Linked DNA regions of Callithrix jacchus. The protein of the gene in region 7 purifies or fractionates together with the protein of the main gene of each other region. This does not show direct contact. Links are inferred from orthologs where the notes say so. Each region holds a gene or a part of one and is shown on either strand. Other genes may lie near its edges.

Region 1 (4,097 bases), on a different chromosome or scaffold from region 7:
TAGAAAAGTCAGGGGGTAGTTGGAAAAAATGTCTATACATCTATACAGGGAAAGTTGAGAAAGTAAAAATTAGCCATCACTTAGGTGTAGACAACTAACACAAACCCAGCTGGTTGCAAAGTTAACAGGAAATAAAATTTCTTCCATGGACAGACTGCAGCTGTAAAGGGTGACGGTAACCCCTTTTGTGAGTAACTTCTGCTCTCTTTCTCTAAAATCGTAGCCTGTCAGAAACTCCGCTGTTCAAAATTATATTACAAAGGAAACATCCGCTCTTACTTGAAGAACCTTTATTTTGATCGATATGATTGAAAATTCAGTAAAATCTTGCTATTTTAGACTCCCTTAAGGGAGAGGAACTGCCCTTCTAATTACTGGAAAGTGTGAGGTATTGAGCAATATGAATGCACTTTGCTTTCAAAAGCAAACCATAGTTCAGTGGAGTCTAATACAGACTGAGTCCATCATCTCCAGCTCTAAAAAACTCTGAAAAACAAGCCTTTTTTTTCTTTTTGGTAAATTTTAGAGAAGCTCTTGTAGTGATACCACCTGCTCTAAACAGACACACAGCTATTTATAGTCTTCATTTTTCCACTTACTGAGAATATGCATGTTGTTAAATGTGAAAGTGCAGAAATATTAATGCGTGGAATTACAGGATTCTCTCCAGACTATACTGGAATGGCAAGTAATCAGCAGCATCAACATGTGTGTTTACCTCCCTAAATTCTGAGCGATGTCTTTCTCAATTCTAAAATTTAGTTCTATATTTTAATTCCAAATTCGGAAAAAGCTTGAATTCCAAAATACACTTTGGCACAAGCATGCTGGATAATAACCATGGGCAAACAATGTGCTAAATAAGTGAAGTTCTACTAAGAAGACATCAGTTTAAAAAACAGAATGATTAGACCTGCATTTAGAATATATATAGGGGCCTAACAAAGATCAAGGCAAATCATTTCTCAAGTGCAAATCTAGCAATAAAATAATGTTTCTACCAATTTCATCTCTCAGGAAAGGTAAAGACCTAAAGTATACACCCCATCTTTATCCTAGCTTAAAGCATTCTGGTTATTAAGACTATTCTAAAATCCTATTGTATATTTCACTTCAAATACAGAGGCTTTTAAAAAAAGTCTCCCCACGATACCTCAGTAGAAAAAAAATCTCTTTTTTCCTAGTGTTCAAATCCAAGGAAGAAGAGTAAGAGGATAAGACACAAATCAAGCAATTTGATTATAATCTCTCATTCAAATACACTTCAAAGTGCACTTCAAATACAGGGGGTAAGACAAATAAGTTTCTATTTTAATGCAAGATTTTTCTAAGTACATTAAAAGTGCCATTCGGATAGAACAAAGTGATTTGATAAAATAATTTTCACTGACAAAGATTTCTCACTTTAAACACTTAATAATTTACATGTATTTAAACCTTTTAGCTCAAATGTAATTCTATCTATGCACTGCTCAGACTTTCATTGGGGAGAAGGACATCAATGTATTTAGTTGCATTCAATCAAAATGCTGCCTGTGTAAAGGCAATGAATTTGTCCCTACTAAGACGAAGTCAGATTCTAGAATCAATTCAATTCCTTCCAGGAATTCTCAGGGATTAAAAGATTCCTTTTTTATTTTTTAATATGAAGAATCAGATATGGCATATCTCCAACTCCTTGTTTTGCTACAGACTGCAATGCTTTGAAGGTTAAAAAAGAAGAAGACGAAAAAGAAAAACTTCCAGTCAACAGTTCTACTTGAGTTCAACTGAATCTTCGGTAAGTCAGGCAAAACTCATAAAATATTTTGCAACAGCGTTTCCAACGTAAAAAAAGATTCTAACTCCCACTTCTCCAATTGTCTTTCTAGTCCCTGAACGTTGAAAAAACCAAAGAAGCTATCGCATTTGTATAGTTTTCAGGTAGGCTTAAGGTTTTGGAGCTGTATTGCCAAAAACAAACAAAAACAAAACCAAAAAACAAAGAATCACCTTACCTCTTAACTCAAGTTTACATTTTACTACGTAAAACTTTCTTGCTCTCCAGGTTCATTGGCTAAGTAAATTACTTGACAATGAAAATGTATTCACCAGAGTAATTATGCTAAATTTTAGTAGTGGTTCAGAAAGTTTGGTGTTTGAATGCAACTGCTGTTTCTTTCTGCAGTAAAACATTTGTCTTAGCTTATAAGACATCTGGACATTTCTACATTGAGTCACTTTGATCAATACTGCGGCATTTCCCCCATGGATTGGTGTAAATGGACAAAGGACACTGTTCTAGCTCCAAGATCAAATTCCTCGCTCTGTGCCTCATCCCAGCCTCGCGTCTCCCCCGGCGGGGCCGCGACCGCACTTTCCGCGCTCTAGTCCAGGGTCACTTTCCGCAGGTTCAGACCTCTGTCCCCTCCGCCCAGGCCCGGGCCCCTCTCCCGGCGCAGCTTCTGGATCCCGAGAGCCGGCAGATTCAGGAGCGAGGCTGGCGGACCCCACCGTATTTATTCACGTAGTTTCAGCACTTTTCCCTCCGCAGTGAAGGCCCTGCGGGCACCTTCCCGGTGTGACTGGGCACACGAGAAAGGCAGAACAAGAAAGGGCATGAACGCGGCGCGTCATCCCCCGAAACCCCCTCCGCTCACCAGAAAATTCTCACCGGGGAGGCGACGCGGCCACACCTACCTGCGCCAGGTGAGGCAAGGACTGGCGCTTGGGCGCAGCCGGGGCTCAGCCGGGGCGCAGCGCGGGGCCGCCAGCTCCTCCTCGCTCTTCTGCCGCCCGGGGTGGCCTCAGCCGCCCGGCTGCGGCGCTTCCTCATTTTGGGCAACTTCCTTAACGCGCCCGGGCAGGCGGCCCGCACTTCCTCCCGATGTCGCGCCCCGCCGCCTGGCCCGCCCTGCTGACCGCGCCCGTGCGCCCGGAGCTGGGCGGGCACGGGCTGGAGCGCTGGGCCGGCCCGCGGGATCCGCCTAGGCGGCTGCACCGGCAGAGGAATCCAGGTGCGGCGCGCCGCTCTCCTCCCGCCGGGTAAGGGCCCTTCGCAGGCAGGGAAGGTGGGACTGCCCGCGACCCGAACCACATCGGTTGCCCTCATCCCCGCCAGCGCGGTAACTTCTCTTACTGCCCAGGACCCAGGAACACTCAGCGGCCCTTTCCATTTGCTGTGCAGCAAATGGGGTAGAGACTCCACTGCAGGGCATAGTCCCTGGAGGGGGTATCTGGGTCACCAAGCCAACAGGCTGCAAGCCACCGTGCTGGAGCACTCAGGAGGCCGGGGCAGTGCTGAGGGGCCCGGTAGGTGAACAACAGACTTCACGGAGCACTAGTGGGCAATGGAGCGCGCTGCTTCTGAGGGCTTATTACTAAAGACTGCTTTCTTTGTAACACGACGGCTCTGACGTCTACAGCCAAATAAATTAAACGTAATCCTTTCCTATAGTCCTAAAAACGGTGTTGACTTATCTGCCTGATACACTTCTCTCAATTATCCTCCTTTTCCTGTTGGACATTCCTCTTTAAAATGTTCCCACAAAAACGGTATCCAGACCTTCTTGATAAAACCGATTGGCAGCGTCTGTTTTAAAAAGCTTTACCCTGAGCCAAAATGCGAGAAGCAAAATAAAATACGTATAATGTGCTGGATTGTAATTGCCATGGAGAAATTATAAAGATGGGACTGTTTATACTTAATGGAGCCCTCAGCCTTTTCTGTTTCCAGCGTTATTAGATTTTAATTCATTTTTGCAATTAATTTTTTAAACCTGTTAAAACTTCAACTGAATTACATTTAAATCAGTTTAATTGAGAAATGAATGATTTGGGAATGGGGTAGCTTCCAGAATCAAAGCAGATTCAGAGACTCCAGGGATGCCTCATGGTCAGAACAAATTCACAGACAAAAAAAGAGGAAGATATGGACAGAAATCAGAAGTGAAGTAGAGAAACAGCTGAATTGGTTACAAGTTGGCGTTTGCCTTGTTTGAATACTTAGCAGTTTATGAGTGTTTGAAGTATGGCCGCTGGGATTGGCCAAGACTCAGCTGTTGTTACAGGCCTCATACTCCTAAGTTAGATTTTCAGTCTTGCCTGCCTGTTAAAGC
Region 2 (3,500 bases), on a different chromosome or scaffold from region 7:
TACTAATTCAAAATGTGCTGACTTTTTTTTAAAGGCTTAACTAGCAGCCACAAAGTACAATAGGAATCATGTTTTGAACTTCTCTGCCAAATTCTGAGAATGTATTTTAAAGCTATTGTTTCATGCTGATTAAAAGGAAGAAGTTAATCCTCTTAGCCCTTATTCCTAATTTCATGATAAGTACACCTAGTAATCCTGGGTATGTTCCTTAGACTTTCTTCAGCCTTTAGGTCTCAACCAGAAAATGTTTCCAGACTATCTCAAAAGGACCTGGGAGGGTGAATAAGATGGTATGCAGTGGGATTCTTATTTAGGAGAGATTCTGAACATTGGTCTTAATGCACACAAACCCCACCAGGACGTCAGTTCACTCTAATTGGTGGGAAGCAAAGTGCTCTAGAGAGGTGTTGGTCCCCACGGACCCCTCCACCTACTGTTATCTGAATATAGCAAGTTGAACTCAACCAAAAAAATGGACATGCTTGGGTCTGTGGAGCTGGGGACAAATCTCTTTTTTCATAAATGTTTATTTTTAAGCCCAAGAAGTGTATAGATATATAATATTTATATACAAATGTATATTTTTTAACATGACAAACCCAGACTTCCATTCCAAATACGATTCTTGGGATGAAGGGTCTGAAAATATTCCCATGATCCTAGATTGTCAGGCTATGAAATACTTTCCCCTAAGCTCCAAGCTTAATAGAGAATAGTCAGACTACAAAAGTGCCACAAGAACACTCCATGGTAGGAAAATGGGGGGAGGCAATATGAAAGAGAATCCCCCAGGAGGAGGCCTTGAAGGTCATGTAACCTCATTCTTTTGGTTCTCTTAGGCTACAGAGGGATGGAATGTAGGCAGAGGGTAACCAGAGACTTGGGTCCCATTTGTGCAGTGCAACCATGGCATGCAGGAAGGGTGGTGTCCACAGAGACACTACAATGGGCAACCTGTCTAGAACACCCACCACCATCCCCATGCAAGGGGTGTGACTCTCCCAGCTCCCAGCATGTCCCATGTGCACAAGAGGCTGCTCCTCCTTCATTCAACGAGTATTTGTTTAGAGCCTATAGCAAGCCAGCCACCCAGGAACAGTTCCAGCCCTCACTGAGCGGACAGCCTAGCAAAGAAGACAGACACAGCTGAGGAGTGCTAGGACAGTGGCACCCAACGTGCTGGTGGTCGGGGGGTGCAAAGCAGGTAAATGGAACCTACTGGAGGTTTGGAGAAGGCCTTCCAGAGGAAGTGCTACCTAAGCTGCTACAGGAAGTGAGAGAAGTTAGCCAGGTGAACAGCAACCAAGTCAGGGAGAAAGAACTGTCTTTCCATGAGTCTGTGGCAAGAGACAGGTGAAAAAAGCTCATACCTCATGCAGAGCAAAGCACAGAACAGCCAAGAAGGGGTGTGGAGAGAGATGAGGGCTTGTTTACAGATTAAGCAGTTCAGATTTTATCTAGAAGGCAAGTGGGAACCTCCCTTGACAGAGTATATAGATTACCCGTTTCTCATACTATCCCTGTAAGGAATAATCATAACAAGCTCCACTGGCTTACGCCGAACTGATTTAAAATCGCTCATTGCCTACTCCTCCGAAAGCCACCACATGTGTTTTCAGAAGGGAGTAAAGTATTCAGATTTGTAATTTAGAAGAATGAGGCTACCCAGTGAAGAATGAGTCCTTATCCAAGGAGAGGTTATGGAGAAGGGACCCAGAAGAGTCCCGGCGGAAAGTAAATGCATATGTTGACAGGATGTTGATTTCCTGAGGTTTGACTGTCGACTTACTTGTCATCATGTCTTCCTCTTCCAGCTGGTTGATTCCGAAGAGGTGCAGTCCACTTGCGGGGATATTGTTCTTCAGGGATTCGGTTAGCAGTTTATCAAGGGTCTCTGTGTTGTAGGGCACAATTTTAAAGGCCTGAATACAAAAGTGAAGATGGTCAGATGTGAAATCCAGTTCTCTCCCATTCCACAGATTCAAGACTGATAGGCCTTGAGCAGAAATTACATGCCCAGAAAGCTCAGGTTTCGTTGCAGTATCCTTACCTGACACATGAATTCCACAGGATTCGCAGCATTGGACAATAAATTCCCAATTTCTTCCATGTCAGTATAATAGCTGATAACAGTTTCACACACCACTAAGTCCCCAGAATATATCTTCAGAGAAACATTCCCAGATGAAAGGTCTGAACAGAAGAAAAGATAATATCAAAATTCCCAGGAAAAAAAAGCATCCAGGGAAAAGTGGCTGTGGATATACACACTCCACCTGAGTGGCAAGGACACTAACTGGGGCCTGGAAGAAAGATCTTGGAAGTGAGCTGGGGCTGCAGTGAGGGAAAGGGTGGAGGTGAGCTGGGGTGGGAGTGAGGGAAAGGGTGGAGGTGAGCTGGGGTGGGAGTGAGGGAAAGGGTGGAGGTGAGCTGGGGTGGGAGTGAGGGATAGGGTGGAGGTGAGCTGGGGTGGGAGTGAGGGAAAGGGTGGAGGTGAGCTGGGGTGGGAGTGAGGGAAAGGATGGAGGTGAGCTGGGGTGGGAGTGAGGGAAAGGGTGGAGGTGAGCTGGGGTGGGAGTGAGGGATAGGGTGGAGGTGGGCTGGGGGGGATGAGGGCAAGGGTGGAGGTGAGCTGGGGTGGGAGTGAGGGATAGGGTGGAGGTGAGCTGGGGTGGGAGTGAGGGAAAGGGTGGAGGTGAGCTGGGGTGGGAGTGAGGGAAAGGGTGGAGGTGAGCTGGGGTGGGAGTGAGGGATAGGGTGGAGATGAGCTGGGGTGGGAGTGAGGGAAAGGGTGGAGGTGAGCTGGGGTGGGAGTGAGGGAAAGGATGGAGGTGAGCTGGGGTGGGAGTGAGGGAAAGGGTGGAGGTGAGCTGGGGTGGGAGTGAGGGATAGGGTGGAGGTGGGCTGGGGGGGATGAGGGCAAGGGTGGAGGTGAGCTGGGGTGAGGGTGAGGGAACAGGTGTAGGTGAGCTGGGGTGGGATGAGGGAACAGGTGGAGGTAGCAGGTGAGTAAACCAGCACATGTTAGGGCTGTGGGCCACAGCAATTTTCATTGGGTTTGCAACTTAATTTTCAAAAAATTTTCATCATTTTACTCACTAGTGTAGGGCCCAGTACCTCAATGAACTGGAAGAAAATTCGGGTTTAAGGCACTTTACACAAAGGCCAGTGGTCACAGAAGGAGGGAAAATCATGGGAGGTGAAACTGTGTCTCTGCCACATTGGGCGGGCTGAATTGGTTCACTGCAAGTCATGAGCTGCTGTCATGACGACGTGCTGTCCCTGGGGCGGGATGCTATACCACAGGAAGGGGTTTTGAGGGGGAAAGAGAAAATTAAAAATAACACCAACCACAGAGATTCACAAAAGAGGAAATGCGACAACAGAGACCATGGAAAAATATTCACCCACACTAATAATCAAAGAAGTGCATATGAAAACGATGGACTACTCTCCAAAAAGTATCAAATTAGCAAACACATTTAAAATGGTAATACCTG
Region 3 (3,500 bases), on a different chromosome or scaffold from region 7:
TGCCCCCAGAAAGGCCGTTTTGGCCAAGATATGTGAAAACTGGCCATGAAAAGAAGACCTTTCTCTACTGGTATCCACCCCTAATCAAGCCTCCCTTGGACCTTCCCCACCAGCGCCAGGGTCCCAGTGGCAGAAAAAGAGGGTAGGAGAAGCCTAAAAGGGTAAGGACTTGGCAGAGTAGGATGTGGAACAGCAGAGAGACTAGTCCCTGTTTCTAAAGGACATGGAGAAAGAAGACAGGAGAAACACATGAAGGTCCTCACCGGAGCTGCAGAAATCCGGCGGTTCTTGCCAGGTGTCCCATTCTTTCGGTTGGCATAGCGGGAGGCATAGGTGCGGGGGGGCACCTGAGGGGGCATAGTCTTGCTCCGGGCCACAGGTTTTCCAGAGGTGTCTTTGCTGAAGTCCAGGGTCCCTCGGCCCTCCTTCCAGCCCCTGGTGGCATCCCGCAACATCTCCGCATCATAGGTTGACTTCAAGTTGAGCCTTGTAATTGCATCGTTGATGCCATCATAGTCCACAGACCCCAGCAGGTGGCCCTGACCCCCACCTCCTGGCACCTCTTCCTCTTCCAGGATCTGATTCCGTAGCAGTTTTCCTGGCAATTGTTCGACCGAAGAGAAAGTGTTGATGTCATTGGGCTGGGAGATCTTAGAGGATGACGGGGACCCCTTTCTGGGAGGCAGGGGAGGGGTATCCCAGATAGAGGTTCGGGGAGGCAGAGGAGGTGGGGATAGTTTCTTGCAAGAGCCCTCTATGTCTCCTGGTCCTGGGGACAAAGAGACTCCCCCATCTGAACCATCAAAAATGTAGAGATAGTCTCCAGACAGGGAGCCTTTGGGCCAGGGATCTGGGCCAGGCTGGGGCCCTTGGGAGGTAGAGTGGTTGGGCAGCCCTTCCTGTGGGGAGAGTGAGTTGTAGTTGAGGGTAGGATCAGAGCCAGAGAGACCGCGTAACAGCTTGAGGTCAGTCCGCCTTCCTGCTGACTTGCTATAGAAGTCTACCCCAGGCTCATCCCAGCTGATGAGAGAGGGGTCTGCGTTCTGCTTGGCTCTGCTCTCCTTCTTGTCATGCCGGAGCCGGGACAGGGCATCATACTCCATCTGCAGGGCTTCGGCCATCGCCAGCTCTTTGCGGCTGATGCCCACAGACTCCAGGGACTTCCAGTGTTCCCCATTGCCCTGAGTCGAAGACATGGTGAGGGTGGGGAACACAGGAGACAAAGAAGCCTCTACTTCCTGCCAACCTCAGTTCTGGAGGGTTGTGACATGGTGTCTGGGCACCTGCAGGTGAGGGGTAAAAATATCTGTCAGTCATAAAGAGAGATTTACTATTAATCCACTTTAGGTGACATAATCTGGGCCAATGCCTGCTTCTTTGGTGTCTACAACAAACCGAAAATACAGAAAGATGGAGGAAAAAAGGAATACCAAGACAACGTTCCCTATTTATTATATCCAGCTACCCATTCATTCATCTCTACATGTCTCATCTCTGTGCCCGAATCCCTATACTCACCTCTGTCATTTGTGCCCCAAGAAGAGAGAGAGAGGCACCTTTTTTTGTTTGTTTGTTTGAGACTGAGTCTTGCTCTGTCGCCCAGGCTGGAGTGCAATGGCGCGATCTCAGCTCACTGCAACCTCAACCTCTCAGGTTCAAGTCATTCTCCTGCCTCACCCTCCCAAGTAGCTGGGAATACAGGCACCCACCACCATACCCGGCTACTTTTTGTATTTTTAGTAGAGACGGGGTTTTGCCATGTTAGCCAGATTTGTTTCAAACTCTTGACCGCAAGTGATCCACTGCCTCGGCCTCCCAAAGTGCTGGGATTACAGGCATGAGCCACCATGCCTGTAAAAGATGCCGGACAAGAGTATGAGTATGTATGATTCCATTTATATAAAATTCTGGAAAATGCAAGCTCATCTATAATGACAGAAAGCAGATCAGTGGTATCTTGGGGACGGAGTGGAAAGAAGAATGGGTTACAAAGGGACACAAGGGAAGCTTTGGAGGTGATATGTTCATTATCTTGATTGTGGTCATGCCTTCATTGGTATACTCACATGGCAAAACTTACCAAACGCTTTCAATATGTATATTTTATTACATGTCAATTACACCTCGATAAAACTATAAATGGAAAGTACCACAGAGCCCTGTTAAACGGACCTTGTAATTACTCAGCACTAGGGTCCTCCCAAAATACACCAATATATACAACAAAAGAAAGCTTGCCAACAGGTGAGACTCGGCTACCTGATGTCTTACAGGTGTGCCAAAATATTGCTTCCCCTCGGCCCTCAGGAAGTCACATAGGATCTCCGAGCTAGTGCCTCCACTTTCTTCAGTGCTGGTACTCTTTTCTCTAGAAGCCACGACATGAGCCAAGTTGAGAAGCACTCAGTAAATGCTTGTAATGATAAGGTCAGTCTGGCCCAGTGGTTCTCAACCCCAGCTGCAACATTAGCACAACACTGGGGGAATTTTAAAAAGTACTGAAGCTCAAGTACTCTCAAGAGAGTGTGATTTAATTGTTCTGTGGTAGGGTAATGGCATTTTTTTAAAAACTCCCCAGGAGATTCTAACGTGTAGCCCTAGCTGAGAACTCTGGATCTATGAATGCGTGTTTGTGATGAGGTTGGGGGAGACCAACATGAAGTAGTCACTTCCGACTCTTAGCACCAGCAGCCCAAGACGGTCACAATTCCCTAAAATTATCAAAAATTGTTCATTCTTTTGTACTGTGTCACCCAACAGAACAAACATGAAACATTACACCTCATGATTAGAATGTTGAAAACATCAATAGGAAAAAGGTTCAGATAGGTTCTTTTTTTTTTTATATGGAGTTTTGCTCTTGTTACCCAGGCTGGAGTGCAATGTTCCTCCAGGGATCATTGCAAGTGATCCTCCTGGGATCAGGCAATTCTCCTGCCTCAGCCTCCTGAGTAGCTGGGATTACAGGCACGCGCCACCATGCCCAGCTAATTTTTTGTATTTTTAGTAGAGACAGGGTTTCACCATGTTGACCAGGATGGTTTTGATCTCTTGATCTCTTGACCTCGTGATCCACCCACCTCGGCCTCCCAAAGTGCTGGGATTGATTACAGGTGTGAGCCACTGCGCCCGGCCCAGATAGATTCTTGTGTGGCAAGTTGCTGAGATTCAAAATAACTTAGGACAAAGTTATCCCTTACCCTGGGGTACTTCCGGGACCCTGGTACATCTATCACGTATAGGCACAGAACCCTGGTCCGAAGGGCTCTGGCTCAGTGAATCTGACAAGTATTGTACTTAGGAATTAGTTCACCATGGATGGAACAGTCTGAGCCCAGCCTCAGGGTATCTAAAGCAGCTCTCTGTTAACTTAATTTCTATGCCTTTCCACAGCTCCTTCCAGATCACTTTTTATCCACAGTGGGTATGAGTCTTGCTATTTGAAATTCAAAGGAGTAGCATAAGCAGATGGAGATGTTCAGAACCCAGCTGCCTGGAGC
Region 4 (3,500 bases), on a different chromosome or scaffold from region 7:
GTTCTGGACACGCTGGGACTTAATGAGCTGGCGGACTAGGGCATGGAGGACAGGTCACATGGGCCTGTGCCCCTAGGCCGGGGGCTCCCCCCTGCTCACCCCTCCCAGGTCTGGCCCTGGCTCACTGCGGTCATGCGTGAAAGTGGTCCAGTCCTCCTGGGAGTCCCGCTGTCTCCGCAGCAGCACTAGCCGCCCACCCTCCACATCCACGCTCAGCGTGAACTTCTGCGACTTCCCGATCTTGGTCAGGTCACCCAGGGTCACATCTAGTTTCACCTGCAAGCCAGGTGGGAAGCTGCTGACAAGACCTTGGGGCAGGCAGCACCCCAGTCCCCTCCAACCGCCCTTTGCCCCATGAGGCCCCACTGCCATGTACCTCAAAGGCCTGCACAGGGATGGTCTTGGCCTTACGTGTGGATGGCTGCAGAGCCGGGGGTGCTGTGGAGCTCATGTCCTGTAGGGCCTTCAGGGCCTGGAGGGAACAAGGGCAGCGTGAAGTCAAGGGACACCCTGACTGAAGCCTGGGGCAGGGAGGGACACAACTGATGCTGGGGCCAATGTTAAGTTGTAGACTCAAGGTTGAGATCAGTGCTAAGCTAATGACAGTGGCCAGTGAATCGGCAGACAAGGGTCAGAGGTCATGCCACCTTCTTCTGGATGCCTGACAGGAAGTCCTTTAGCACTGACAGCTTCAGCACCAGGCTCTCTAGTTCCTGCTCCCCTGTCTGTGGCAGGTTCTGGTAGGGGGAGAAAGAACTAGGCTTGTATAACAGTCACCTAAGCAGAGCCTCCCAGGCAGCTCCAGAACATGAGCCCACCTCCCAGGGGTCTCCCTACAATCCCACCTGCTGCTGCAAAAGGCGCGTCACCATGGGGGAGCTCTGCTGGTCAAACACCTTGGACAGGATCTCCAGGCCTGACAGGACCTTGTCCACCTCACTAGGGGAGACATCAGGTCAGAAGAATTCCCACCCAGACCTAAGTACAGGGAAGGGGGCGCTGGGTGTAGCCTCCACCTCACCACAAGGATAAAGGGTACCAGGTGAGGAAGGTCAGCAAGCAGTGGCTAGTTGACTGTTCAGGGTCAGAGGTTAGGGCACCTATACAGCCAGGGAGCAGGCAAGCACAGGTCAGAAGTAAGGGTAATGCATGGGGCTGGATGTCCCAGATACCTGTGTAGCCTCCGACATGAGGTGGCGAGGGTACGGGTGAGGTGGGGCAAGTGGCTGGCTCCACCCCGCACAGCCTCCAGGTCCAGCCCGTAGCTGCCTTTCAGGTACTCGTGTGAGACGGTGCTTAGCCCATTGGGAGCACTTTGGGAAGGGGTAAAGAAGTCAGTGGAGGTCCTGCTGTCCTGTCCCAGCACCCCTGCCCCATCCCTAGAAGAGACAGTATTTGTGGCAACCAGGGCGGGATGAATCAGGGTGGTGTGGGGGTCCTTGGTGAGGGCTTAGAAGGCCTCTCCACCTTTAGTAGGAAAACAGTTCTCAGAGGAGAAAGGATCTCCTGCTCAGTGGATAGGGTAGGGGTCTCACCTCTCAGCAGCTGGAGTTGTGGGAGTCTCAGGGGTTGGCAGGGGACTGCTGGGCCCAGTGTGGGCAGAAATGCTGGTAGAGCCAGAGCGCGGGGGCAGCGGGGGCTTCTCGTCCTCCCCATCTGTGGGCAGGGGTCAGTGGGCAGCTGTCTGGGCCTCCCACACACGGTGGAGTAGGAGGCATAATGCAGCTGTAAAGTGACTTTATGGAAAGAGGGATAAAGGGCGCCAGCATCATGACCACAGGCAAGGGGGCTACAGGAGAGGTAGGGTTGAGAATCGGGGATGGGAAGAGGCAGGGAGAACCAAGGGACAGGGGCAGGGAGGGGACCCACACATTAGTACCTGAGGCATCCCGGTCATCTGGAGGGTCCGGTTCCCGCTCCCCCTCTACAGGAAGCAGCAGGGCACATACAAGGCCCTGGTTAGGCTGGGCATACAGGCCAATGAGCTCACCCAGGGTCTGGAAGCGGCGCACAGGCACACCCTGCGAGGTCTGTGGGCCAGCAAAGGTGGGAGGAAGGGTCAGCCAGCTGGTCCCAAACCCTAAGCTGGATCAAGGTCAGGGGTCAGGGGTCCAAGGTCCTACCTGCACAGCCAAGAAATCTTCTCCATCAGGCAGAATTCGATATGTGTGCACATGCTTCTGATACCTACACCAAGGCAGGGCCAGAATCTGTCACCCCCAGGCTGGGGTCTAAGACCCAAAGCACCCCTTCTTCCTGCCAGCAAGCTCAGCATCCCAATGCCCTCAGCTTGGTTTCCCTAAACCCACCTGCCCAGACTGCACAGGGTTAATGATGGGCTGGTCCACTTCCACCCTCCTAGTGTTGCCAATAAGGGCAGGAATGACCAGAACACCCCCCTCTCCCCACCAGACCTACAGACTCCACACCCACCACAGGGCAGGGCCCAGGAAGCAACAGGCAGCTCTTTTGTAGCCTCCACAGCTGTCTAAACAGCCCCTCTGGGCTGTGGTACCAGTCTGGGCCCCCCGCCAGAGTGAGTCTTCAGAAGCCTGGTTAGCCTGTACAACCTGTGGTTGTACACACAGGTAACATGCTAATATGTGTGTGCCTCCTGTGTTTATGCTGCTGTCTGGCTCTGCCGGAGTCAGGTATGTCTAGGGTAGTTCTGTCAAGGAGTGTGGGGGCATCACCCTAGGCTTTCCCACCGAAGAAGGCCCCCATGGGAGACCTGGGCCTCTAGGAGCCCCAAGCCAAGGAGGGGCAAGAGGGGTGCTGACAGACGGCAGCCACAGCAGAACAGGTGACAGCTGAGCCAGGTGCATACTCAGTGGGGGAAGATCCTCTGCCTCCACACCTCAGGGCGTGTTTCCCCCCAGGAGTTACCCAGGAGGAGTCACTCTCCGTGTTGGGCAGGAGGGAGGTAAGGACCCCCCAACACCATGGCCCCCTCAGGGGCTCTCCTGTCTGCTTATGCTGGGTGTCTGCCTGTGACCGGGTGTTCCTTGGTAGACTGTTATAAACACTGTCTGTGTTTATTGCAATAGCATACCATTGACTGAATCCTATCTGTGACAGGCTGGGTACCCAGTGTCCTATAGATCTTATTTAATTCTCACATTTTTAAGTAGACATTATTATCCCCATTTTCCAGCTAAGGAAACAGGCCCAAAGAGGGAAAGTGATTTGCCTAAGGTCACAGGGTAAGTGAAAGGTCAAGTTGGGATTTTAAACCATGGCAGAAGCCAGAGCGGTATCCTGGCCTACTGGTCAGATTGCCTGTGCCTGCTGGGGCAGGGGCGTGTCTTGCATGTTATCCATGAGCACCTGCAATGTATACAGGTAAGCAAGTGTGTGTGTATTAAGCAAATCTAAGATATTGCCCTCATCTGATTGCCGACATTTGATCCTTACTCCCAGGCTCTTGAAATTCAGGGAGGAGCCAGTCAGCTGGCAAACCTGAATCCCCCACTCACAGTGAGACCCCCTCACCCCATTCA
Region 5 (3,500 bases), on a different chromosome or scaffold from region 7:
CCCCTTGCCCGGATTCCCTCCTGATCAGCGTGTAGCTAGCTCCATTCTAACAGCTTAGCTGCAGAGGGAGCAATTACCAGGTGTCTTATGGGCCATTTCAGGGTACTGCCTCCTGCCTGGGTATTCTCTTCCTCTCTGCCACACCTAGCATGTGTGTTTCGGGGAAGTGTCTGGGGCATGAGATTTTCCAGAGTTTGCTCCCCCTGGGCCCCCTACGGGCCCAGCGTAAGGGCTATGCCTTAGCTTGATCATTTGCAAAGACTGTATTTCCAGATAATGTCATATTCTAAGGTAATGGGGGTCAGGACTTCAATATAGGAATGTAGGTGGAAACGCACTCAGCACCCTAACTGTGCTCTTTCTGTCCTTTCAATGTAGATAAGTCCCCTGCGGCCCCAGAGACCGAAGAGCCAGGTGATCAACATCATTGGAAGTGAAAGGCGCTTCTCGGTGTCCCCCTCATCACCGTCCTCCCAGCACACACCCCCTCCGGTTACACCAAGGGCCAAGCTGAGCTTCAGTGTGCAGTCGAGTAAGTGGAACCTCCCCTCATACGTATCGTGCTGTTGCTTTGTGCGTCCCTTGACTGAAGGCTCTCAGGTTAGAAGCATCTCCTCACTCCCCTTTCAGCAGAGGGAGGGAGTTTGGATAAGCTCCTGGCTTCCTGGGAACAGACTGTAGAGTCTGGACTTCTGCACATCAGGCCAAAGCCCAGAGCCAAGGTCTCCAGCGCTGGAGGGGCAGAAAGTGCAGGGTCTGTCCCAGGATCCGTGGGGAGGGAAACTGGGACACATGGGACCACTCCACTTCCTATTCCAGGACACAGCTGCAGGAGGCCGTGGGCCTGCCTGTGTCTAGGACAGTGCACTGGAGAAGCACTCCAGGCAGTTTACAACAGCCAAGGAGCATAGCTTAATTTTCTAGTTTTGACCAATTTTTAAATTACCCAAGAAGTTGCCACAAAACTGGTGGCTCAAAACAGTAGAAATTTGTTCTCTGAAGGTTTTGGAGGCCAGAACTCTGAAATCAAGGAGGTGGCAAGTTGGTTACCTCTGTTGGCTCCAAGGGAGAGCCTGTCCCAGGCCTCTCTCCAGCTTCTGGTGGCTCCTAGCAGTCCCTAGCCTTCCTTGGCTGTGGCCACACCACTCCCCTCTCTGCCCGTCTTCACGTGGCCTTCTTCTCTGTGCCCTCTCCTCTTATAAGGACACCAGTCATTGGATATAGGGTCCACTGCAAATCCAGGATGATCTCACCTTGAGATCCTTAGCTTATTACATCTGCAAAGACCCTAAGTCCAAGTAAGGTTACATTCTGAGGTTCTGGGTGGCCCTAAGAGGTCCACGTTTTGAAGACTCTACTCAACCTACTCTAAGTGGTAACCAGCTTTTCACCACCAAATTCAGAGCCAGCAGAGAGGAGAAATCTTGGCAGGGAGAAGGTGCTGGGGGTGAGGGTGACAGCAAAACCAGGGAGCCTACTCTCCTTCCTATGGCACAGGAAGGGGTCAAAGGCAGGAGAGCTCTGTGCCCTGTGGCAAGGGTTGTGCAAGGCAGTGAGAGATTGTCCTCTGCACCTGATTTTCCTCCTGCTTAAAGGGGAGCAATCATGCTTCTGGAGACTGTCAGGTGGTAGGGAGTCTGGCTTCAAGCATGGATGCGTGAGTTTAATTGAGTAGGCCGAGAGCTTTCTGGGCACTGGGTCTGTCTCTGGAGGGTGCATCCTCACATCCTTGCAGTATTACTACATGATTTTTCTAAAAATGTGTTTAAAGTCTATTTTAATATTTAAAACCATAAGGCACCATCACTGCTGTAGAAAACAAATTGCTGGTTCCTCCAAAGTTCCACGTGGAATAACCATACGGTAATATGAACCAGCAGTCCTACTCCTCAACCTGCACTGCAGAGAACTAAACACAGGGACTCAAACAGATACTTCATATTCATAGCAGTATTTTTCACAAGAGCCAATAAGTGAACACAACCCAAATGTCCATCGACTGATGGCCAGATTAACAAAACGTACATCCAAAGAAATGTCCATGCAATAGAATATTCCTCAGCTGGAGAAAGGAGTGAGGTTCTGACATGTGCTACAGTATGGACGAAACTCACCGTGATCCCGAGTGACACAGATCATTCACAGAGGGACAAATCTTATGTGACTCCACCTCAGTGACATATCTAAGGCAAGTTCACAGACACAGAAAGTAAGAGGACAGGTCAGGTGCCGTAGCTCAAGCCTGTAATCCCAGCACTTTGGGAGCCGAGGCAGGCAGATCACCTGAGGTCAGGAGTTCCAGACAAGCCAGTCAACATGGTAAAACCCCATCTCTACTAAAAATACAAAAATTAGCTGGGCATGGTGGCGTGTGCCTGTAATCCCAGCTATTCAGGAGGCTGAGACAGGAGAATCACTTGAACCTGGGAGGAGGAGGTTGCAGTGAGCTGAGATCACACCACTGCACTCCAGCCTGGGTGACAGAGCAAGACTCCATCTCAAAAAAAAAAAAAAAAAGAAAGTACAAGTAGAGCAAACCTCCATGTGGAAAGAAGGAAGGGAGGGAGGAAGAGAGAGAGAGAAAGATTGAGAGAGAGAGAGGAGGGTACCAGGGGCTAGAGGGAGGGAGGAGTGGAGAGTTAGTGCTTAAGGGGTACGGACTTCCAGTTTGGGGCAATGGAAATGTTTCAGAAATACATCATGGTGATGGTTGTCCGCTGTGTTGATGTGATTAAGGCCACCAAATTGTCCCCTAAAAAATGGCTAAAATGGCAAATTTTATGTCATGGGTATCTTACCACAATAACAACAAACAATTCGGCACCAGTCATGAAGACAGTCACTCACCGAAGCCTTCTAACTCCCCTCGGTCCCATGGCAGAGCTTTCTCAGAAACTGACACTGTGTTCTTCCTAGGAGACATTTTCCTAATAAAGGATTTTTCATCAGATGCATCCTTGGGGAAAACTCCAAAAGAGACTCATCAGTAAAAACGTCAATTTTTCTCTCTTTTAATATGAAAGAAAACAAATTGTTTTTAAGAGTCTCAACAAGGGTTGAGAAAATATCCTGCCTTGGTGATTATCCCTCCGTTTGAAAACCGCTATATTTTCCAGTTTACTTTAAAAATCAATTGTACATCCCCTTGGCTTATTTAAAGCCACAGCCACAGTGACTGCTACGGCTAATAAAATCATTTCATGCAATCATGGATTTTCCTGTGGAAAGAGATTGGAAGTTGGGTGTCTGGTTGCAGTGTTAGACTTTGCTTAGCGAATCTTTCCAGGTGATAACTGCAGGGGTGATTGCAGAGGCCCAGCTGCAGAGATGGTCCTGTGGCACCCAGCTGTTTCACTTCCACCAAGGCAGGGGGCCCGAGGAGGGATCAAAGAAGCCAGGGTCAACACCACCTTCTACAGTGGCTCAATGCCGTGCTTTACCCTCCCATTTTAGTTGTCACGTGATACTTGCTATTCTCTTTCTAGAACACTGCCATTAGG
Region 6 (3,500 bases), on a different chromosome or scaffold from region 7:
TGTTTTGTCAATACAAAAATATTTAAAGGAGAGAAACTAAGGAAGAGTCTCCGTGATGCTTAGGGCTGTGCCAGGCAGAGACCTGAGACAAAGAAACGCAGATCGAGGCCACATCTCAGGCGGGAGACGGACAGAGAGACCCAAGTCACAAGGAAGGCGGATGGGGTGCACGCCGCCAGGGAGGCAGGGAAAAACGACCCCACTGGGGAAAAAGTGGTGTGGGGGCTCTGGGGGTGCCCTGGATGATGTCACTGAAGGGGAGCCCAGGGTTCAAAGGGGTTCAAAGGGATGCAAAGGGGCTGTCGGGGCAGAAAGCAGAACTGAGCCCTTTCCCTGAAGCGCACCCCTTTCCCAGGAGGAAACTGTAGCCCCACAATGCCCAGCCCCACAGGAAACCACGTGATGGAAAAAACACAAAACTCCTTCTGGGGAGAGAGTGAGAAGTGAGGTTGTGAGGTTTCCTCAGCCCAGGGGTGGCGGAGGGGCAAATTTTCCAACCGCAGGGATCGGGGGAAGGAGGGGAGGACCAGTCTGTCCCAACCCATCTTATCCCTGCCCAGAGGTGACTCCAGCCAACAGACACCCCCCCACCCCCCGCAGAACCTCCAGATCTTACTGGGCTGCTTCAGCCCACCACTTGGGGACAGGCTAGGACCCCAGGCAGCGGGTAGGAGGCTGAGCCCCTTTCCTTAGGCCCCAGGATGAGGAAGTCTCCATGCAAATGTCAGGCTGACCACAGGAAGCACAGAGCCACCGAGGGATAGATGCAAATTCCCACAGAGAAGGAGGCAGCACAGACACAGCAGGGGACAAGGCAGGGACAAGGCAGAACCTCAGAGAAAGAACCTCTCACACTCCAGGCTCAGGGGTGACACTGGCTCCTGGGATGGGTTACCTGAAAAGGCCTCCAGTATGGCTTCCCTGGTCTTAACCTCTTAACTTCCCACCCCAGCACTGCCCTCCCTTCCTTGTCTCTCTTCTCTCTTCTCTTTGAAAGCGGGTCTCAGCCTCCTCTGCAGGGGCCTCCTGGGGCCCTGCTCCTCTCGTCCCCTCTAGGCACTGGTCAGCCCATCCTCTTCCTCCTGGCCTGAGGCAAGGAGAAAGGACATGAGCTTCAGAGGCCCCCCAAGTGTCACGGTGGGGAAGAGGAAGGGCAGGGGGCAGACACGGAGCCAGCCACATGAGGCTCATGGAGAGGAAGAAGGCCGTGAAGGAAGCTGACCAGGGAAAGAGGTCTCCCAGGCAGGCCACAGAGCAATTCTGCAACCTCATTCAGCTCTAAGATTCAGTCAGTGACTTCACCAAAAATACTGATGGCAGTTTGGAGGCCAGAACCCCAGAAAGGCTGCAAGCTGGCGCTTTAACAACCCATCCTCCAGCACAGGGCAAGGGCAGGTGGGCTTGGCCCCAGGGGTCCATGTGAAAACCCCTTGTGTTATTCCACTGCCCTTTACTCTAAGAGGATCTGGCACTGAAAGGAGCCAGGGTGTCCTGAGGAGATTTCAGAGCCCCCTGGCCCCTGCCCATGCCTTTGGGAGCCCACAGGGACAGTGGCCAGCCCAGCTCTGGGGACCACACCTTTGAGCAGAGGGGACAGGAAGGAAATGCCTGGAGTGTTTGTGCTCAGGACAGTGTGAGCCCCTTTCCACATGTGAACACTCCACGGCTGCTGGGTGGCTGAGATAAGGCGTCAAGTGTCCTGGCAAGCGTTCGTCCCCATCCTCATTCCTAGTGTCAACTCCTAACGCGTGCTGGCCATGGGTGAGGGGAAGACGGAGGAGGGCACTCTCACTTCCACAGGAGGAAGAACTTTCTAACAACAGAGCTGGCCCACATGACATGCCAGCCGCCAGCGGTAGCCTCCCTGTCTCTAGTGGGACCTGGGTTGCAGTGGCCAGGGCCCCTGGAGTAGGGCAAGGCAGCCTTCTCTGGCTTCCTCGGGGTTAGGTGGAAAGGGTGGTAGGTTAAGCTCTGAGACACCAGGCTGCAGGAGGAAGGACGCTGAGAGCCCCAGCTGGTGCAGGAAGGGAAGGGGAGGGAGGGCAGGCAGTGCTGGGTGCCAGGCTCCCTGCCTCCCGGGCCATTGGGGTTGGGAGCCGGCTTGCCCCAGCTTGGGAGAGGCAGGGTGCGGAACCCTCACCTCTCACTAGTGGGGTCGGAGCAGTTCAGCGGGTACTTGAGGTGGATGATGGTGCCGTCACGATCCTGCAGGACGCCCTGCTGCTGAGTGTAGTACTCCACCAGCTCCGTCAGCGTGGCGAACTTCTCCCCTCCATACAGGTCGTAGAAATCCCCTGAGTTCTGGATCCGAATATGGGTCACCTGATCCCCCACCCTGCAGGGCACCAGGTGGTGAGGCCAGTAGGTGCAGGAGTAGAGGCAGGAGGGCAGGGATCGGCAGAGGTCCTGGGTGGGGGCACAGACAGGGATGGGGAGCACGGGGGTTGGGGGATGAGGACACAGACCAGGCGTGGGGGCTGGGGAGTTGGCATTGCCGCGGAGAACCAGGAATGTGTGGTTCAGGGCCTGGACGGCACGAGAGCGGCCAAATGCTAGGGAGGGCCACCAACCTGACAGAGAGCGAGAAGTCACCCTGGTTCTTGCGACTGGGCCGAGCCAGGAAGCTGCCATGGACACCTCGGCCCTTGAGCAGGGTCTCTGCATCCAGCCCACTGAGGTCTCGGTGAAACCACCTGAGTGGCCCAAGCAGGGCAGTGAGGAGGGGTCCTGTGGGCACTGGGCACCCTTGCCTCCTGCCTACTGAGGATGGCAGGCTCTTACCTCACCATCCTGGGGGCTTCCGGAGAGGGAGGGGGCGCAGGGAATGAGGCGACGCAGCTAGTCTGGGCAGGCAGAGAACTCGTGGACTAAGCCTCAAACGTGGCTCCCAGTGCCAAGCTGCCTCACCAGCCCCGGTGGTCCCAGTTCTGGAGCTGCCACTCCACTGGCCTAGGGCAGCCGGCAGGGCGGGGACAGGAAGAGGCGCGGCCGACCCCTTGGGGGAACTCACTTGTACTTCTCATTTTAGAGTAGAGCAAGGGAAGAGAAGCAGAGTATGGTGGCACTGGGGGTGGGGACGGGGCCCACTTCCCACATGTCTGCAATCAAAGGCTCAGGAGCATGGCCATGCACGTATGTGACACCACATGCAGTAAGGACACATATGTGCCTTGCACACTAAAAGCCCAGCTCATACTTCACGTATGTGAACCTACACGGTCACACGGCACCTCTTCCTCCTCCACCTGCTGCTTTTACACAGTCCTCCCTGGCCCACACTAATAACAATGATGGCAGTGACAGCTGTCATCGAGTGAGTCCTGCTGGATGCCAGGCGCTGTGCTATAATGGTGCTCATATGCCTCGTCTGAATAGTTTCTCACCACAGCCCTATGAAACAGGGGGTCTGTTTATCCTCATTTGACAGACAAGAAACCTGAGGCCCAGGGAGTTCAAGGCATTGCCCAAGTCCATCAGTGAGTCAGCTGCAGCGCCAGGAT
Region 7 (3,931 bases):
CTCAAAAGCCACTTGGTAATGGCGGAGACTTCCTCTGAATTAAGCAGTTAAGAATTAATTTCTCTCAGGAGAGCATGGTGACTCTATTCTGTATTACTTCCTTTCTCCAAAATCCTTTGCTCTTCTGTTCTATGCAACAATTAGAACTCCAATGCACAATATGCAACATAACAGGAATTACTGAAAAGAATCTCTAAGTACCAGCAACTGGTAGTACTTAAAACCCAGCAAACCTCTCAAATCGGAATAACTTGCTGACAAGTTAAGTGCCTCAAACATTTAAATGTCTGAGTTTAGGCTCCGCACAGGAGCTCACACCTGTAATTTCAGTACTTAGGGAGGCTGAGGCAGGCAGATCACTTGAGGTTAGGAGTTCGAGACCAGCGCGGCCAACATGGTGAAACCCCGTCTCCACCAAATACAAAAATTAGCCAGGTGTGGTGGTGAGAGCCTGTAATCCTAGCTACTTGGGAAGGTGAGGCACAAGAGTGCTTGAACCCAGGAGGTGGAGGCTGCAGTGAACCGAGATCCTCAGCACCACTCACTCCAGCCTGTGCAAGAGTGAGACTCGTCTCAGATAGATAAATAAATAAATACATACATACATACATACATACTAGGAGATAGCTGATCATAAGAATTAACTCTTTTAAATCTTGAGATTGGGAACATTTTGAACTTGGGAAGGAGCAAATAGAGATTTCTTTGTCAAAAACAACAACGAAGGCCAGTTATAATAGATGCAGAAAAAAGATCCCTGATTTTTAACTAAAAGCCTAACAAAGAATAAATTAGTACTACTACAACGCGCAGGCTTCAACTAATTCGATGGTCTAAATCAGTTCTAGCCTCTTACATTTTTCAGACTATTTTAACCTAATATAGACTTATAGTTGACCTTCACTTTTTAACATTAACACCCCCCACTAAAAGTCAAAAAGTCACATAAGCCCTGAGCTGACCCAATATTCCTTACTATTATAAAGACATACTGGAAGAAAGCATAAATAGGTACAAAAGCATAATCTTAAAAAACTAAAACACAAAACAACAAACAAACCACACTTGTAACCTAGTGGCAGGACTGAATTCTTAGGGATTAATTCAATCTTTTTTTTGAGACGGAGTCTCGCTCTGTCGCCAGGCTGAAGTGCAGTGGTGCGATCTGAGCTCACTGCAATCTCCGTCTCCCGGGTTGAAGCGATTTTTCTGCCTCAGCCTCGAGTAGCTGGGACTACAGGCGCGCGCCACCACACCCAGGTAATTTTTTTATTTTTAGTACAGGCGGGATTTCACCATGTTGGCCAGGATGGTCTGGATCTCTTGACAAAGTGCTGGGATTACAGGCGGGAGCCACCGCACCCGGCTGAATTCAATCTTTTGAGCCCCCCACCCCCTTCTCAGCGGGGGAACCTCAGCCTCCAATGGCTCTCTAGCAACCCTTCTGGCTGACTAGCGAACGCAGGGGAAAGCGCAAAAGTAAAGGCACCAAAGCAGGAAAGAGGATCTCTTCCCGAGAAAAAGGACGGAATCTTGAAATCAGAGAAAACTAACAGTGCGAAAGGGAAGAAACCTCGAAAAATTACGCCAGAGTGGGGACTACCAAGGAGGAAGGGGAAGTAGATTAGAAAAAAAAAAGAGGGGGGTGGGGGAAGGAAGGGGCAAATGACTTGCATTACACAAGCACTTCTTGTCCCTAGTGGAATGGACAGAAGTAGATAGAGAGGTAAGGAAATAACTGGAGAAGTACTGAGTGAAAGAGGGGTTAAGAAAGCCAGGGACTAATGCTGATTTCTCTCATGTGTCTGACATTTCTGAAAGTCAACAGCATCAAGAAGAGACACACCTCAAATGCACTTCAGTCCTCTGCAAACTGCACTTTCATAGCCTTTGAAGCCAGGCTTGAAAAACTTTCCAAACAAGCCATAACTCATATGTGGTTTACAATCACAGAGAGGGCGCGCTGCAAATGAAAATTACCAGCGCCCGCTCTCGCCGCAATGTTTCCTCGGTGCAGTCCAACCTGCTGCTGCTTAATTTTTCAAATAATTTTTTTTTAAGTCTCAGAATAAAGACATCTCCCCCGGGGAGATGAACGTTCTACCCCACCGTGGATTCCCGCACAAAATTAAGCCCAAAGACGCCAAGAGATGGTGACGTGGTTGTCATGCAGGTCGGAGGCGCATCAATCACCACAGCTGCAGCCCACACCAAGTCCCCCGCCGCCGGGATCGGGCGGACTGACTCAGTCGGGGTTTTGCCCTTCCGGGCTTCCCAGGCCCCTTTCGTGCAAACCCTTCCGACGAAGGCAGGGGACTTCACGAGGGAGCCCCGACTTCTACCCCCGGGCTCCCGGACACTGCACAGACAGCCGAGAGCCGGAGGAGGACGTTCCCCAGGAAGGAAGCGCCCCAAAAGGGGAAACGCAGAGTCCAGAGCCTTGGGCATTCCACTCCGCGTCCCGAGCTTCGCCGCCCCGACCCGACCCCAAGGGCCGGGGTCCCGGTTCCCCCAGGGCCCACTCCCGTCGCAGAGCGGAGAGGAAGAGACACAGGAGCGGCGCCGAGCGCAGCCGCCCGCACTCACCGTGGCGCAGCTAGTCCGCTCCGCGTCGGGCCTGACCCACCTCAACGCTGAGAGCGGCCGCCGACCCCGAGGCTGCTCCGCGAGGGCGGCGCTTGCTCCCGCCGCCGTCACGGTCACAGACACAGAAACAGACACAGACACAGCCTCAGCCACAGCCGCCGCCGCCGCCGCCGCCGCCGCCCGGTCGCCGAAGCAGCAGAGCCGCCTCGCTTCCGCTCGCCGTGGGTGTCCCGCGAGAACTTCTCCACGAGGCCCCGCCCCGCCCCGCCCCCGCGAGACTTCCCCCGGCGGAAAACGCCCAAAGCGCAAGCGCTCCTCCTGGGCCGGGCTCCGGCAGGTAGTGACTAGCTAGGCCCCAGGGCGCATGCGCCAGACCGCCCGCAGCAGGTGGCCTCGTCACGGCTCCGCCCCTGGGTCGCCGTAACCCTCTCGGTACCAGAGCGGGTAAATAACAGCTTAGTCCTGAAGGAATAAATTCTTACCCCGTCTAATCACTTTCTTTTCTCCTCTACCAAACCAAGGCAATTGGATATGGATGGGGGCTGGGGGGAGGAAGAGAGTTTCCAGCCTGAAGCACTCCAAACAGAAGACCAGGTCTTGAAATATTTGAGAATCCGTACAAACTCTGCAATGTTGAATGATTGGTGGGTTTGTTTACTCATTTATTTAATTATGTGCCTAATATAGGCTGAACACTGTGCTGGATATAGAACAGAAATCCTGGTCCTTAAGGAATTTACGGTCTAGGGAAGCAGAGAAAAATAAACAAATAATGCCATAAGTACTGTTATTTGGAGTTTGCTGAGAAAGCTAAAAAGATGGAAGAAGAATGGCTACTCTGCCCATTGCAAAAGAGCCTTTACAGAGGTGATGCGGCGATGTCTAAGCTGAGTCTTGGGGGATGAGTAGGAGTTTGCCAGGCAGAGAAGCCAGAGTAAGGGCATTTCAGGGAAAGGGAATGGCACGTAAGTACAGAGGCTAAGTACAGCGGAACGGAGGCGTGAAAGTCGTGTGCTGTGCAGTGCTAAGTAGTTCAATTCCTGTATGAGGCCGGTGAGTATGGGGGAGTGGCAGAAGATGAGGCTTCGGTAAATAATTCTTGTTTTTCAGTTATCAAAGCTCTTTCCAATTAAAGGATAGAACAGAACACACCTAGTGTTAATGTGTCTTCTGGAAGCCAAAAAAATAGCGTTGAGATGAGAATAACCAAGCATCTGATTGTACAGAGGAAACAAGCCCATTGAAACACAGAAAATGAGCCGGGCACGGTGGCTCAAGCCTGTAATCCCGGCACTTTGGGAGGCCGAGGCGGGTGGATCATGAGGTCAAGAGATCGAGACCATCC

What was found.
Region 1: the proteins of GRB2 (region 7) and SYK purify together in Homo sapiens (affinity purification with western blotting; 3 studies listed by BioGRID, with this or other methods). This does not show direct contact. The link is inferred for Callithrix jacchus from reciprocal best matches to the Homo sapiens genes GRB2 and SYK.
Region 2: the proteins of GRB2 (region 7) and PIK3AP1 purify together in Homo sapiens (co-immunoprecipitation; 4 studies listed by BioGRID and IntAct, counting the BioPlex papers as one, with this or other methods). This does not show direct contact. The link is inferred for Callithrix jacchus from reciprocal best matches to the Homo sapiens genes GRB2 and PIK3AP1.
Region 3: the proteins of GRB2 (region 7) and PIK3C2B purify together in Homo sapiens (affinity purification with mass spectrometry; 5 studies listed by BioGRID and IntAct, counting the BioPlex papers as one, with this or other methods). This does not show direct contact. The link is inferred for Callithrix jacchus from reciprocal best matches to the Homo sapiens genes GRB2 and PIK3C2B.
Region 4: the proteins of GRB2 (region 7) and INPPL1 purify together in Homo sapiens (affinity purification with mass spectrometry; 3 studies listed by BioGRID and IntAct, with this or other methods). This does not show direct contact. The link is inferred for Callithrix jacchus from reciprocal best matches to the Homo sapiens genes GRB2 and INPPL1.
Region 5: the proteins of GRB2 (region 7) and DOCK1 purify together in Homo sapiens (affinity purification with mass spectrometry; 5 studies listed by BioGRID and IntAct, counting the BioPlex papers as one, with this or other methods). This does not show direct contact. The link is inferred for Callithrix jacchus from reciprocal best matches to the Homo sapiens genes GRB2 and DOCK1.
Region 6: the proteins of GRB2 (region 7) and PTPN6 purify together in Homo sapiens (affinity purification with western blotting; 4 studies listed by BioGRID and IntAct, with this or other methods). This does not show direct contact. The link is inferred for Callithrix jacchus from reciprocal best matches to the Homo sapiens genes GRB2 and PTPN6.

The regions. Positions count from the first base shown.
Region 1 is NC_133502.1:74,892,307-74,896,403, forward strand, and holds the start of SYK (tyrosine-protein kinase SYK), read right to left. Parts: upstream 2,801-4,097; 5' UTR 2,680-2,800; intron 1-2,679. UniProt on the Homo sapiens protein: Non-receptor tyrosine kinase which mediates signal transduction downstream of a variety of transmembrane receptors including classical immunoreceptors like the B-cell receptor (BCR).
Region 2 is NC_133513.1:89,501,165-89,504,664, forward strand, and holds part of PIK3AP1 (phosphoinositide 3-kinase adapter protein 1), read right to left. Parts: intron 2,194-3,500; coding exon 2,051-2,193; intron 1,923-2,050; coding exon 1,790-1,922; intron 1-1,789. UniProt on the Homo sapiens protein: Signaling adapter that contributes to B-cell development by linking B-cell receptor (BCR) signaling to the phosphoinositide 3-kinase (PI3K)-Akt signaling pathway.
Region 3 is NC_133520.1:31,754,113-31,757,612, forward strand, and holds part of PIK3C2B (phosphatidylinositol 4-phosphate 3-kinase C2 domain-containing subunit beta), read right to left. Parts: intron 1,284-3,500; 5' UTR 1,197-1,283; coding exon 264-1,196; intron 1-263. UniProt on the Homo sapiens protein: Phosphorylates PtdIns and PtdIns4P with a preference for PtdIns. Does not phosphorylate PtdIns(4,5)P2. May be involved in EGF and PDGF signaling cascades.
Region 4 is NC_133511.1:68,736,320-68,739,819, forward strand, and holds part of INPPL1 (phosphatidylinositol 3,4,5-trisphosphate 5-phosphatase 2), read right to left. Parts: intron 2,188-3,500; coding exon 2,124-2,187; intron 2,031-2,123; coding exon 1,880-2,030; intron 1,657-1,879; coding exon 1,536-1,656; intron 1,314-1,535; coding exon 1,173-1,313; intron 940-1,172; coding exon 846-939; intron 738-845; coding exon 648-737; intron 473-647; coding exon 377-472; intron 277-376; coding exon 126-276; intron 36-125; coding exon 1-35. UniProt on the Homo sapiens protein: Phosphatidylinositol (PtdIns) phosphatase that specifically hydrolyzes the 5-phosphate of phosphatidylinositol-3,4,5-trisphosphate (PtdIns(3,4,5)P3) to produce PtdIns(3,4)P2, thereby negatively regulating the PI3K (phosphoinositide 3-kinase) pathways.
Region 5 is NC_133513.1:120,762,035-120,765,534, forward strand, and holds part of DOCK1 (dedicator of cytokinesis protein 1), read left to right. Parts: intron 1-378; coding exon 379-532; intron 533-3,500. UniProt on the Homo sapiens protein: Involved in cytoskeletal rearrangements required for phagocytosis of apoptotic cells and cell motility. Along with DOCK1, mediates CRK/CRKL regulation of epithelial and endothelial cell spreading and migration on type IV collagen.
Region 6 is NC_133510.1:21,218,675-21,222,174, reverse strand, and holds part of PTPN6 (tyrosine-protein phosphatase non-receptor type 6), read right to left. Parts: intron 2,947-3,500; exon of another isoform or gene 2,790-2,946; coding exon of another isoform or gene 2,782-2,789; intron 2,694-2,781; coding exon 2,571-2,693; intron 2,407-2,570; exon of another isoform or gene 2,336-2,406; coding exon 2,141-2,335; intron 1-2,140. UniProt on the Homo sapiens protein: Tyrosine phosphatase enzyme that plays important roles in controlling immune signaling pathways and fundamental physiological processes such as hematopoiesis.
Region 7 is NC_133506.1:131,303,794-131,307,724, forward strand, and holds the start of GRB2 (growth factor receptor-bound protein 2), read right to left. Parts: upstream 2,801-3,931; 5' UTR 2,587-2,800; intron 1-2,586. UniProt on the Homo sapiens protein: Non-enzymatic adapter protein that plays a pivotal role in precisely regulated signaling cascades from cell surface receptors to cellular responses, including signaling transduction and gene expression.